Drosophila melanogaster: one gene and its partners. The protein of the gene in region 3 purifies or fractionates together with the protein of the main gene of each other region. This does not show direct contact. Each region holds a gene or a part of one and is shown on either strand. Other genes may lie near its edges. The genes, in order: CG4849, Bx42 and l(1)10Bb.

Evidence for each region.
Region 1: the proteins of l(1)10Bb (region 3) and CG4849 purify together in Drosophila melanogaster (affinity purification with mass spectrometry, with the first as the bait; one large-scale study listed by BioGRID). This does not show direct contact.
Region 2: the proteins of l(1)10Bb (region 3) and Bx42 purify together in Drosophila melanogaster (affinity purification with mass spectrometry, with the first as the bait; one large-scale study listed by BioGRID). This does not show direct contact.

The regions. Positions count from the first base shown.
Region 1 is NT_033777.3:27,961,572-27,965,325, reverse strand, and holds the start of CG4849 (uncharacterized protein), read right to left. Parts: upstream 1,912-3,754; 5' UTR 1,773-1,911; intron 1,647-1,772; 5' UTR 1,639-1,646; coding exon 1,525-1,638; intron 1,465-1,524; coding exon 796-1,464; intron 738-795; coding exon 646-737; intron 587-645; coding exon 395-586; intron 342-394; coding exon 1-341. Other genes in the region: CG31131 (uncharacterized protein), read left to right, coding at 2,146-3,285.
Region 2 is NC_004354.4:9,104,900-9,108,653, forward strand, and holds the start of Bx42 (Bx42), read right to left. Parts: upstream 1,706-3,754; 5' UTR 1,549-1,705; coding exon 1,326-1,548; intron 1,059-1,325; coding exon 498-1,058; intron 433-497; coding exon 1-432. Other genes in the region: Arfrp1 (ADP-ribosylation factor related protein 1), read left to right, coding at 2,246-2,338, 2,406-2,658, 2,777-3,033. UniProt on the Drosophila melanogaster protein: May play a role in chromatin structure and function.
Region 3 is NC_004354.4:11,323,683-11,327,351, forward strand, and holds l(1)10Bb (lethal (1) 10Bb), read right to left. Parts: upstream 1,627-3,669; 5' UTR 1,504-1,626; coding exon 1,410-1,503; intron 1,329-1,409; coding exon 988-1,328; 3' UTR 612-987; downstream 1-611.

The DNA of each region.
Region 1 (3,754 bases), on a different chromosome or scaffold from region 3:
ATATCATATCCCGGTAAATGTCACCCTCTTTGGGTCCAGTGTATATATGGTCCACCTTTCGCTTGGCATTTTCCAAAGGGGATTTAATGTGCTCCACGCACATATCCACAAAACCGCTGCAGTCGCCCATGAAGCGGTTACAGACGAGACGCAGCAGTGGTCTTATATTGGACTTCATCTCCTCCTTGGAGACGCGCACATTCAGCTCGGCCAGAGTGTCCGACAAAGTGGTGTCCACATCGCCAACCACCTGGGCTATCAGCTTGTACATGGGCTCCAAAATGAACTCCACAAAGCTGCGCTGTGCCGAATTGTGCGGCTGCTTCTTCGAGAACTTGCGCCTATTAAAATAGTTGGTATTAGCAAATGATTTGGATATTTAGGCAGCACTTACGTTTTACTGTTGAAGTACATGTCACCCCAGAGCCGCTTGGCAAAGTCCAGGTAAGCCACTCCCTCATAGGTGTCTGCATACAGCTTGGCAAAGGATTTCAGAGTGAAACAAAATCCGTACAACGAGCTGGCGAAGCACACGTTGCCCAAAATAGGCGAAACTAAGAGATTGTCATCTGGAGCGCCATAGGTGCTGTAAGAAAATTACACATTAGTAAAATCATTAGTGTTGAGTATGAATCACGTAATCACCTCAGCAGCCCATTGACTTCCTCCACAATGTGTTTCAACTTAAAGTAGGCGTCCTGGGGCGGCAATTTCAGCTCCAGGATGAGGCGATCAATCTGCACGTCAGAGGAAACCATTAGAAAGTTTAGTGTCACCTTAAGGCCAAACCCTCACCTTGTTTATGCAAACGGTGATAGCCTGGCGCTCTTGCACCGCGTGCTTGAGCAGTCGCTCCGTGTTGAGCATGACGCCCTCGGCGGCATCGATGAACAGCACGACACCATCGCTCATTCGCATGGCGGCGGTGGCCTCGTCCGAGAAGTTGACATGCCCCGGGGTGTCGAAGATGTTCAGCAAGTAGCTCTTCTGTTTGACATCCTGCAGGACAAGTGTGACCGGCGTGGCCTTGATGCTGCAGCCGCGTTCCTGTTCCGTGAACAGGGTGTCCGTGTAGCGCAACTGGCGCTCCTCCATGGTCTCAAATTGCGGATGCGTCTGCCGGATGAGGCAGTCGACAAAGGTGGTCTTGCCGTGGTGCAGGTGGCCAACCAAAGCCACGTTGCGAATAAGCGGCGGAGTGTCCATGAGATCGGCCATGAACTCCATGTCGTAGGTGGTCTCCTGCATGTCTTGCTCCTTGATCTGGAACTTGAGCTTCTTCACTGGCTCTATAAGCGGCTTGTCCAGCGGCTGGGCGTCCTCCTCCTGGACAATGGTCTCCACATCCGGGCCGTAGACCTCAACTGCTGACGGATAGTAGCGTTTGTCCTCGTGCAAAACCACGGCGGTCACCTCCTTGTCCTCGTCCTCCTGTGGCTCCACCTCGTCCTCGTCCATGGCGTCCTTTAAATGAAACACCATAAATTAATTATAAGTTTTATTTTATTTTTTGCACGTTTATACCTCTGGGTCATCCTGCACATCGGGTTGCCCATAAATACTTTGCTCATCTTCCTCGTCGCTGTCTAAATCGGGGCCAATATAGTTGCCAAACTCATCGTACAAATCGGAATCCATGGTTTTTCCTAAAATAAATATATATATCAATACTTTCATTCAAAATTTGCCGGTGGCGTCTTAGAAAATTTAAAACTTTCACGGTGACTCGAAACTTATGCTACTCTTGTTTTTTGTTGTTTTTACCGACTTACCAATTGTTACAGGACCTTCTGATTGCTAAATTCTTCTTTAAAACGTAAGAAAACTGCAAATAATATAATTATTCACAATTTTTACACAAAAACGCGGACTGCAAACACGCTGTTCTTCTTCTTCCCCGAAAAACACTCAGCTGTTAAGCGGCCGGCATTACCTACGGCATTGCCAGCACAAATAAAGTAAGCGCTTGCAGCCCTGGCGGCAACATTTGAATTTTCCAGTTCATTAGGGCTAATTAACGTTTTTGCCAAGAAAGCAGGTAGCTAAAATACGCGTTGAAACGTAGGTAGACCCTTGCGTTTATATTGCACTGCAGTCGCCAAAGGTAATTAGTCGAAAGTGTCAACCGAAGGTATCAGCATCATAATGAGAAAATTCTGTTTGCTTCTTTTAATGGCGCATTTTGTGGCCTCAAGCCGAAATTTAAACGATATTCTCGGTCGCGAGGAGTGGATTAGCATAGCCAAGGAATACATCAAGAACCACAAGCCTTACAAAGCCAAAATCTACACACCCTACAAGCCGCGCATCGTAAATTTTACCAATCCGTTCGATGGAGATTTTTGGGACACAACTACGGTGGCCACCAATCCGCAGGAGACTACTGGCTACTTCACTGGGGAAGTATCTACTACAACGGAGAAAAGTGCCACTGAGGAATCTACAACTACGGCGGTGGATTATTCAACCACCGAATCTAGTTATGTAACTTCAACCACGGATACTTTATATTCCACGACAACAGCTTGGCCGGAAGTCACCAGCACAGATGCTATAGATGCCACTGAATCAGTAGCCCTATATTCCACAACAACTTCGAGTCCAGAAGCTGCAGATTCAACGACAGAAAGCAATTCAGACAGTACTGAATATGCTGAATCAACGTTAATTTATCCAGATTTATCTACAGGATGGCAAGAAACTACTACAGAAACCATTCAGAGCTCTACAGGATTGCAGGAATCAACAACAACAGAGTTTATGCCAAGTACTACGGAATTTCCGGAATCAACGACTACTTTAAGTTCTGAATTTTCAGAGAAAGAACTAATAAAAACTACCACAGAAATAGAAATCAATCCAAGCACTACAGAATTGCCGGAATCAACGACTGAATCTGCTGATTCTACCACAGAACCGAACGAATCCACGTTTGCATTATCCACAGATCAAACTACAACTGAAACAGCAGAAACTTCAACAGAAGAATTGTTTTCAACCACAGAAACCCAGGAATCTACTACATCCTTGCTGGAAATCATTGCCACGACTCCGGGCGTGGAAACTACCACGTCGTATCTGGATGCAGTGATTGACAGCACCGAAGAGGAAAGTTCTACATTATCAACACCATTTGGATTTAATTTAACAACAACGGAAATAGTAGAAACTCAAGTAGAAACCACAACACCAAGGCAATTGAATTTCGTCGAAGATTACGTTCGCCAGAGACCGAGAAAATTGAAGTACTCTTCGGACACGGAGCCGGAACTTTACTGGTACTGAAAATGATTGCAAATAAAAATTAAGAGTTTGATTAAAAATTTTTAGAAGCAAAAATTAAGAGTTTTAATTTAAATAAAAACGTAAAGCAATTGGCAACGCGATTTAAGCTATGGCTTATTTTAAACTAAGAAACGCGGTCACACTGGCCAAAAGCCAAACACATTGTTGTTTGATTTTTCAGCAGAAATTTTTTATTTTTTATTAGTTTATATCGTAAACATGAGTTTGTCCAGCATAAAACAGAAAGAAGCTAAGGGCAAAAAGAAATTGCTGCCCAAACTGCGCAATATTCTAGCCAATCCTTACAAACAGCACAGGTGAGGCGGGCAGAAACCAATAAAAACCCAATCAACAGGTTGTTTCTTTTGACTTTAGCCCTCTTTTATCGGAGGAGGAAGTGCAGCAGTTCCGTCAGATCCTTCAGAATGCAATTAAAAGCAGCGACGGGCAGACCAAATCGTTTGCCACT
Region 2 (3,754 bases), 2.2 Mb from region 3:
GACCCAAAGCGATTTGCTCAGAAATGTCACGCTCCCTCTCCTTCTGCAGTTTCGATCGCTTTTCGGGAGCCGCCCGCTGCAGGTTTCTATCCCGCTGGCGCTCCCTTTGCCGCTCTGCCCGCAAGTCGTTGCGTTCACGCACCTCGGATCCTGTAGCTCCGGAACCAGATGGCTCGGCTGCCTCCGGATTGCGTAGTCCCGCTCGCTCTTCGCGAGCCCGCTGCGCCATCATACGCAGCATATCCTCCTTCTTCTCCTTCTCCTTTTGGGCCAGCTTCTTTTCCAGCTGGGAGCGTGCCTCCACCGCCTCGCGCGCCTTGCGATCGGCTATGTACAGCGCCTCGGCCATCTTGGCGAACTTCTCGTTGATGTGCACCTGCTGCAGACCGCGTCCATCGGCTGCCAGACGCTTGTCCAGTGGAATGGTGTAACCTGATATCGAGGCAAAGATTTAATTAGGATAATGAAGAGGATTCTAGTTTTACATTAGCTCGCACCTTTGGCGTTCTTCCAGTTCGATATGCAGGGCGGGATCTTCCACTCCTTTTGCTCCTTGACCGTCACCTTGCGCGATGGTGAGTGGAGGACAGGTGCCGGCGGCGATGGTGGACCTCGTGGAATCTTTTTGTTAATGCGGAACTTGGGCGGCTCCATCGGATCGAGCTGCGCCTCCACCATCCGGATGACACGCTGCTTGGCGCCCGAATTGAAGGTATCGCCCTGCTGCGAGGGCGTGTACCGAATGTACTGGGCGGGACCCGCCTTCTGGGCATGGCGCACGGGCAGCGCTGAGGTGATCTTCTGGTTGGTCAGCTTCTCCAGCGCCAGGCGCGTCTCCTCCGTCGTCTCCATCACCGTTTCCTCGTCCGGGCGCTGTAGTTCATCCGCATCTTCGGCCAACACCTCCGCCGGCAGCAGTTGCGAAATGGACGAGTACACAATCTTGTCCTTGCCATGTCCTTGGCGTGCTATGGCATCGTATTTAACCTTTCCCTTGTCGTCCAGGCGAACGGCCAGAGCATCCGACTTCTTGCCAACATTTCCTGGTGCTCCCAGACCTGTCGAGAAGATGAAGAAGACGCAGAAATTGTTTCAATTGAATAAGCCACGCTTCAAAATGCTGATCATAAAATACAAAAATACAACATTCTACAGCAAACGTTTAACTTAATGTGGTGGAAATTGAAGCCTTCTCGCTGTACAATCACCCACATATAAGAAGCTAATGGTTATTTCCCTTACGAGGACACCATTACCAACGAAAAACCGCGACAACATTGTTTGCAAGCACAGAGAAAGTGGGATTAGCACGAACGGGAACCCACCTAGTGGATATTGCGCCACATGGATCTCCGGGAAGGCGCCGCCATCGCCAAAGTCCGCATCCGTATGTGGTACCCAATCCTTACGCTGTCCGTACGGCGGAGCAGCGATTTTGGCGGAGACCAGGGCTCCGATCTTTGGTGCTCCGCGGGCGACCAGGCGACGCTCGTCCTCCCGATCCCAGATCGCGTTCGTCGGCGTGGGCAGCAGGCTTGATAGCGACATAGCTTATCTGTTATTTGTGGCGAATCAATTCTTATGTGAAATCACTTTTCAATATGCAAGCCACAAAAACTATAATGGAAAAGTCGAAAAAAAAAACACGCACGCACACGGACACACACAAGCGTACGGGTGTGTAGGGTTGCCAGACTGCTAATAAGAAAATGCTATAGAGTATGGTCCCTTTTAGGGATGGATTGCATATATTGCGTTTTTCTTAAGACGTAAGAAAACCAAATTGGTAGAAATAACAAAGCGATAGCTTTTTCCAAATTTGAACGCGAATCGGTAGTGGATTGGTAATGGTCATCAAACATCATCAAAATTTGCAAAAAATGGTCAAAAAATTGAATTTGCATTTTTGAACACAGTTTGATTTGAAATTTTATTACGAGCTTAACGAGGTATGACATTCCATATTTGGACCATTATTTCGAATGTTCTTATCAAAATACTACAATATGGTTTATAAAAATCAGGGGCAATCAGAGAAAATTTGAATAATTTATTTTTATTACCTTAACAGAACTGTGCAATACTTAAAAATATAATTTATAGACATCCCCCTAATAATTAGATAGATATAAGTGACACTTGCCCGATCGATACTATCGCATCGCCCTAGCCGCTGGCAGTGCCATCGCTAGCAGTTCAGTCAACAATTTAAGTTTTTGTTTTTGTTGGCCAAAAACACAATACAATGTACACATTGATGCACGGCTTCTACAAATACATGACTCAGAAGGACGACTACTGCGTGGTAATCCTGGGCCTGGACAATGCTGGCAAAACGGTAGGCAGCTGAATCATCCAATGAAAGCCTCATGTCCAATCGGAAACTAACACCTGTGCCCACGTAGACTTACCTGGAGGCCGCCAAGACCACGTTTACGCGTAACTATAAGGGCCTCAATCCGAGCAAGATCACGACGACGGTGGGCCTCAACATCGGCACCATCGACGTGCAGGGCGTACGCCTCAACTTCTGGGATCTTGGTGGCCAGCAGGAGCTGCAATCTCTCTGGGATAAGTACTACCAGGAGTCGCATGGCGTCATCTACGTGATTGATTCCAACGACAGGGAGCGCATGGAAGAGTCCAAAGCGATATTTGGTAAGCGAAAACAGTCTTCGAACTAATCCCTTGAACAAAACTCGTTTTGATCTATTCTGATGATCTCTGGTAAAAGGAAAAAGGTTCACCTAAAATGTGTTATTCTCTTTCCCCACAGACAAGATGATCAAGAACGAACTGCTGTCCGGAGTGCCTTTGCTAATCCTGGCCAACAAACAGGATCTGCCGGATGTGATGGGCGTGCGGGAGATCAAGCCAGTTTTCCAGCAGGCGGGTGCTTTAATCGGGCGGCGAGATTGCCTCACCATTCCCGTATCCGCGCTGCACGGCGAGGGCGTGGACGAGGGCATTAAGTGGCTGGTGGAGGCCATCAAACGACATGCGGTGGTGCGGCCGCCGCGGGAAAACGATTAGAAGATCAAGCAGAAGACATCTGGGCCTGGTAGTCGGCCCTCCACTGGCTTTAATTAGACATGTACTTTTGTAAGTTAGGGGCTTAGGATAACGCTTATTTGTAATTAGCCAGACGAGATTGCGAGATACCAATTGTAAAGATGCGTTGTCATTATTTGCAAAGACCTTTCTTTTCGGTTAACTACTGCTGAGAAAATGAGGAAAACAATGTTAGAAAGCTGTGAGACTTCTGCATAGGACAACGAATTACAAATACTATTGTTAGAATAACAAAGAACGCAATGCTTATTAGCCAATTAAGTGCAAGAACTATAAATTCAGAAGTACTTGAAGATGTATTTGAAGAAGTACTTTGTTCTGTTAATAACCCAGATACATGGGTATTTGGATGCCAAAAATGTAATAAAACTGAATCCATTCGCAGCTGTTATGGTTAATCGTTAGCCACAAAGTGTGTGGGCGATTCGAGGTCCACCAAAATCGGGAGAGTCGCTTCTTTATCTAACAGCACTGCACTCGTAGTACACCTCGATATGGCGGTTGTCAATGGGGCTCCGCTTATCCGAACCGAACGACACCGAACCGCGGAAAGAAACAACCAGCAAACAGACGGGATTGTGGTGTTCTCACGGCGGGGGGAGCATTATTATTACCATTATCAGTCCGATAGATAAGTGCTGTGTGTGCCACCAAAAAGCAAAGGCGGAGGAAAATGAAAATG
Region 3 (3,669 bases):
AAATCGACAGCGCCGCGTTTGTTTGGCAAATGAGAAAATATGCAGACAAGTATAATTAAAAAACCATTTATAATCATTTTCGACCAAATCCCAATTGGCCACCCAAAACCAAACCAAACCCCGCAGGAACACTTGAAGCCTGACAGTTTTCAGCTTGAGAATAAGTTGGGAATGCCGATGGCCGGAATACTCTAGCTGAATTGGATGACTCAAGGAAATATGTATATACTCTTATTTCTATATACTCAAATGTTGAACTAGGGCTTCCATTTTCGGACAATAAAGAAACACTATACCCTTAGAAAGAGTACTGAAAATCGAGGAGCAAGGCGACGATAAATGGACGCACATGAAGGAGACTCCGCCACATCCCCGAAAACGACATTGAGTTTGAATTATGTCAGCGCAGCAATAAATTGTCCAAGGCATTAAATTAAAATATATGTATGTATAGTATATATCGTTTAAAGAAAAGCTGTGAAATCATTAGAAGGACGTACGTAAATTGCATATTTTACTACAGAAATTTTCACAACTCACATATTGAGATGGCTAGATTATAAAAAAAGGAATATATTTAAGTTAATATTCAAAACTCCACTTCGACATATGTAGGAAATTTAATTTATTAAATGCTTTTAAACATTTTCATAAATTATAATCTTTATTTATTTGATTAAACTACAAGTTAATTTCTATCTTTTCTATACATTCTAATACAAAAATGTCTGCTCATACCATTTCTACATTTTTTTTTAAACAAATCGGAACGCATTTCCCAACGATGCCTTGTCGTTTACATAATCGGTTTATTGCAGCATCTATTTAGATGTTTAGCATGCCATTAACCATAATTGTGGCTTGTATTTAAATGTATTTACATACTATGAAGAAATCAGGCGAAATCTAAAGTTGAACCTACTGAACTATGTATTATGAGGATTATTTGTGTCGAATAAAGATGCCAATAATGCGTCCACATGGAATCTAACCGGAGCAGCCGCGACAACCGCAGTGGACACACTCAACGATCCGACCCTCTTCCAGTTTGCATTTGGGCACCCGGCATATGCAGTTCGTGCCGAAATTGGTGTCCCTCGTTTGAATGCAGCGCAGGCAGCATAGGTTCTCGTATCCAGACTTCTTCCACTTGGCAATCAGATTGCCATCGGCAATCTTCTCCTTCAGACAGTAGTCGTACAATTCCCGGCTGATGGCTTTCCGGCGATAGAATAGATCGTAGATGTATCGTGTCTTCTGGTGGTGGATCTTGAAAATGGGCCAAAGGGATTCCGTAATGCGTTTGCCCTCGTGCGGTTCCGTTTCGGCTGTTTAAGAAGGTTAATAATATACGTATAGGATTATAGTAAAGTTTTCATTATCACAGAAGCCGCCACGCTTGTCCTTACCTTCGCGCATTTTTTGCTCCAGTTCCTCGAGAGTTGGTTCGATCAGCTCCCAACCGTCTGGCGGTGGTTTGCGACTGCGGCGAACCTTGGGCATCTTAAATGTTCAATTTATTTAACTGTAAAACTGTTTAATTTCTCTTAAAAATGCTTAATTTTGCTTGAAAAACAAACATTTCACAAACAGCTGGCTACTTAGCGATGACACTTTCCACATGGGCTGTCCACAGCATCAAACGGTTATCGAACACTCACTATCGATAGGCCGTGTCTAAGCCGATTGGCGATAGCACTTTATTGTTTTTGTTGTTTTCCTTTTGGGAGACGCGTGTGTGTGTTTTGCGTGTGATAATTTATTTATTTTCCCGTTCCGTTTGTTTATGCACTGTAATTTAGATTCAGTTTTTAGCACAGGCGCAGGAGTAAGTAAAAATTAACATAAAAACAAAAACCAACAACAAAGCGAGTAACAATTTGTCGAAGTGAGTGCGCAAAAGTGCTGTGCTTGTGTGTGTGAGTGTAACACTTAAAAAATGGTCTAAAAAAGCAAGAGATTCATTCATAAAAAATGCAACAACAAAAGGGGGTCGCCAAAAGAAGTGGAGCGCATAAAGATGTGGTGACTAGAGGGAGAGACAAGCAGAGAAGAAGGATCAGTGACAACAACAATAACATCAATAACAATTTGGCCTTCGCCTATTGCTAGCGCCCTCTCGCTCCCACACGACCACCCGTGCAATCAGCGCCCACATAACGGACCTACGTTTTGGTGTTACTTTTCATTTTTGTGCTACTTGTTGTTGATTTTTTTAAATGTGTGTTTATGTGCAATTCTCGCCCAAATTCTTTGTATTATTTAGTGCTTGGCACAACAAATAACCAAATAAACTGAACTATTAAACAACCCACACAATTGCAATTGCATATCCACCCCCCAATTCGCACTGAACGCGCGTGTGTGTGTGTGTGGTTGTGTGTAATGAGCGCAACAAATCAGTTTTGTTTTGTTTTTTTTTTTTAATTTGCAAATTCCCCGTTTTTTGTGCGCTCTAAAAGTATGTACATATGTGCAATGAAACAACAGTCACCGCCAATAAGCAATATCCCCACGTATGACCCATTGTTTATCTTAAGAAAAGCCAAAGACTTTCACACACTTATCGATAAGATAAAATTTAAGCTAAATACAATGGCTAGTAGATAGTTCTTTCTCACTCGCCGTATGCGACAGTTGCGGCCAACATAATATAGCCAGCTGGCTATTATTAAGCGGACCTACTATTTTCGTCACAGGCAACTTCATACTCACAAATAAGTATGCTTAAAAACATTTTCTTTTACAATATGATTCATAATATATCAGACATGCGTATAAACAAATAAAATAGTTGTCGTACAAGTCATTGGATGATGATCTCGCTGTTTTACATAATGATATTTGCTTACGTTTAACGGTGAGTCAATGCCAAGCTGCTATTACAGTGCCCACCGCTGTAACCTGCATAACAACAGCCGTTAATTGAGGCGCAAATATTTGTAGTTGTCTCCCCCTCTTTGTGGCGCTTCGCGTGCGGTGGGGAGCGGGGTGGAGCTCCGAGTGACAGGGCATTGGCTTTCGTAATTGACGTCTGCCCTTGACCAAGGCCTAAAAGCAACAGTGAAATCGGCTTCACTGGAATGGAAACCGCGATCATAAGCAGAGCCATTGTTCGTGCAAGACTTAAGCCGTTCAAACGGCTGAAAACCAATATCATACTATATTTTTGACGTCTTTGCAATGCTTCTTGGCACAGAGACACAGTGCGGGGCGTTTAAATAGAACCACTTTGTAGCAAAATATAGAACTATAAAACTCGACTATATGCCTCAAACAAGATTTAATTTAATTTATTATATAATATAATTTGGATATATTTAATAGAAGAAAAGCTCTTCTAGTCTTAGTACTGCTATAATTCTGATAATATCAGACCTTTTTACGTAGTTTTCACGCACCCAATCATATTTTTCTGGTCAGACTGTAAATTCGTAATTACTTTCCACTTAGTTTCACTAGTTATTCAGTTTACTTGGGCTTACATTATTCGAGAGACGCCAATTAGACCGCGTGATACGCTTTCCCATGCGATTTTAGACGTCACAGGTGCAAACAATGGGAATTAAGGTCAGGCTGTAGGGACTTTTAGCGTATCTGAGCACAAAGATCCCCCTTCGCATCGATATAAACTGATCACGATCTGGCGCACCCAACTAGATGTATTTA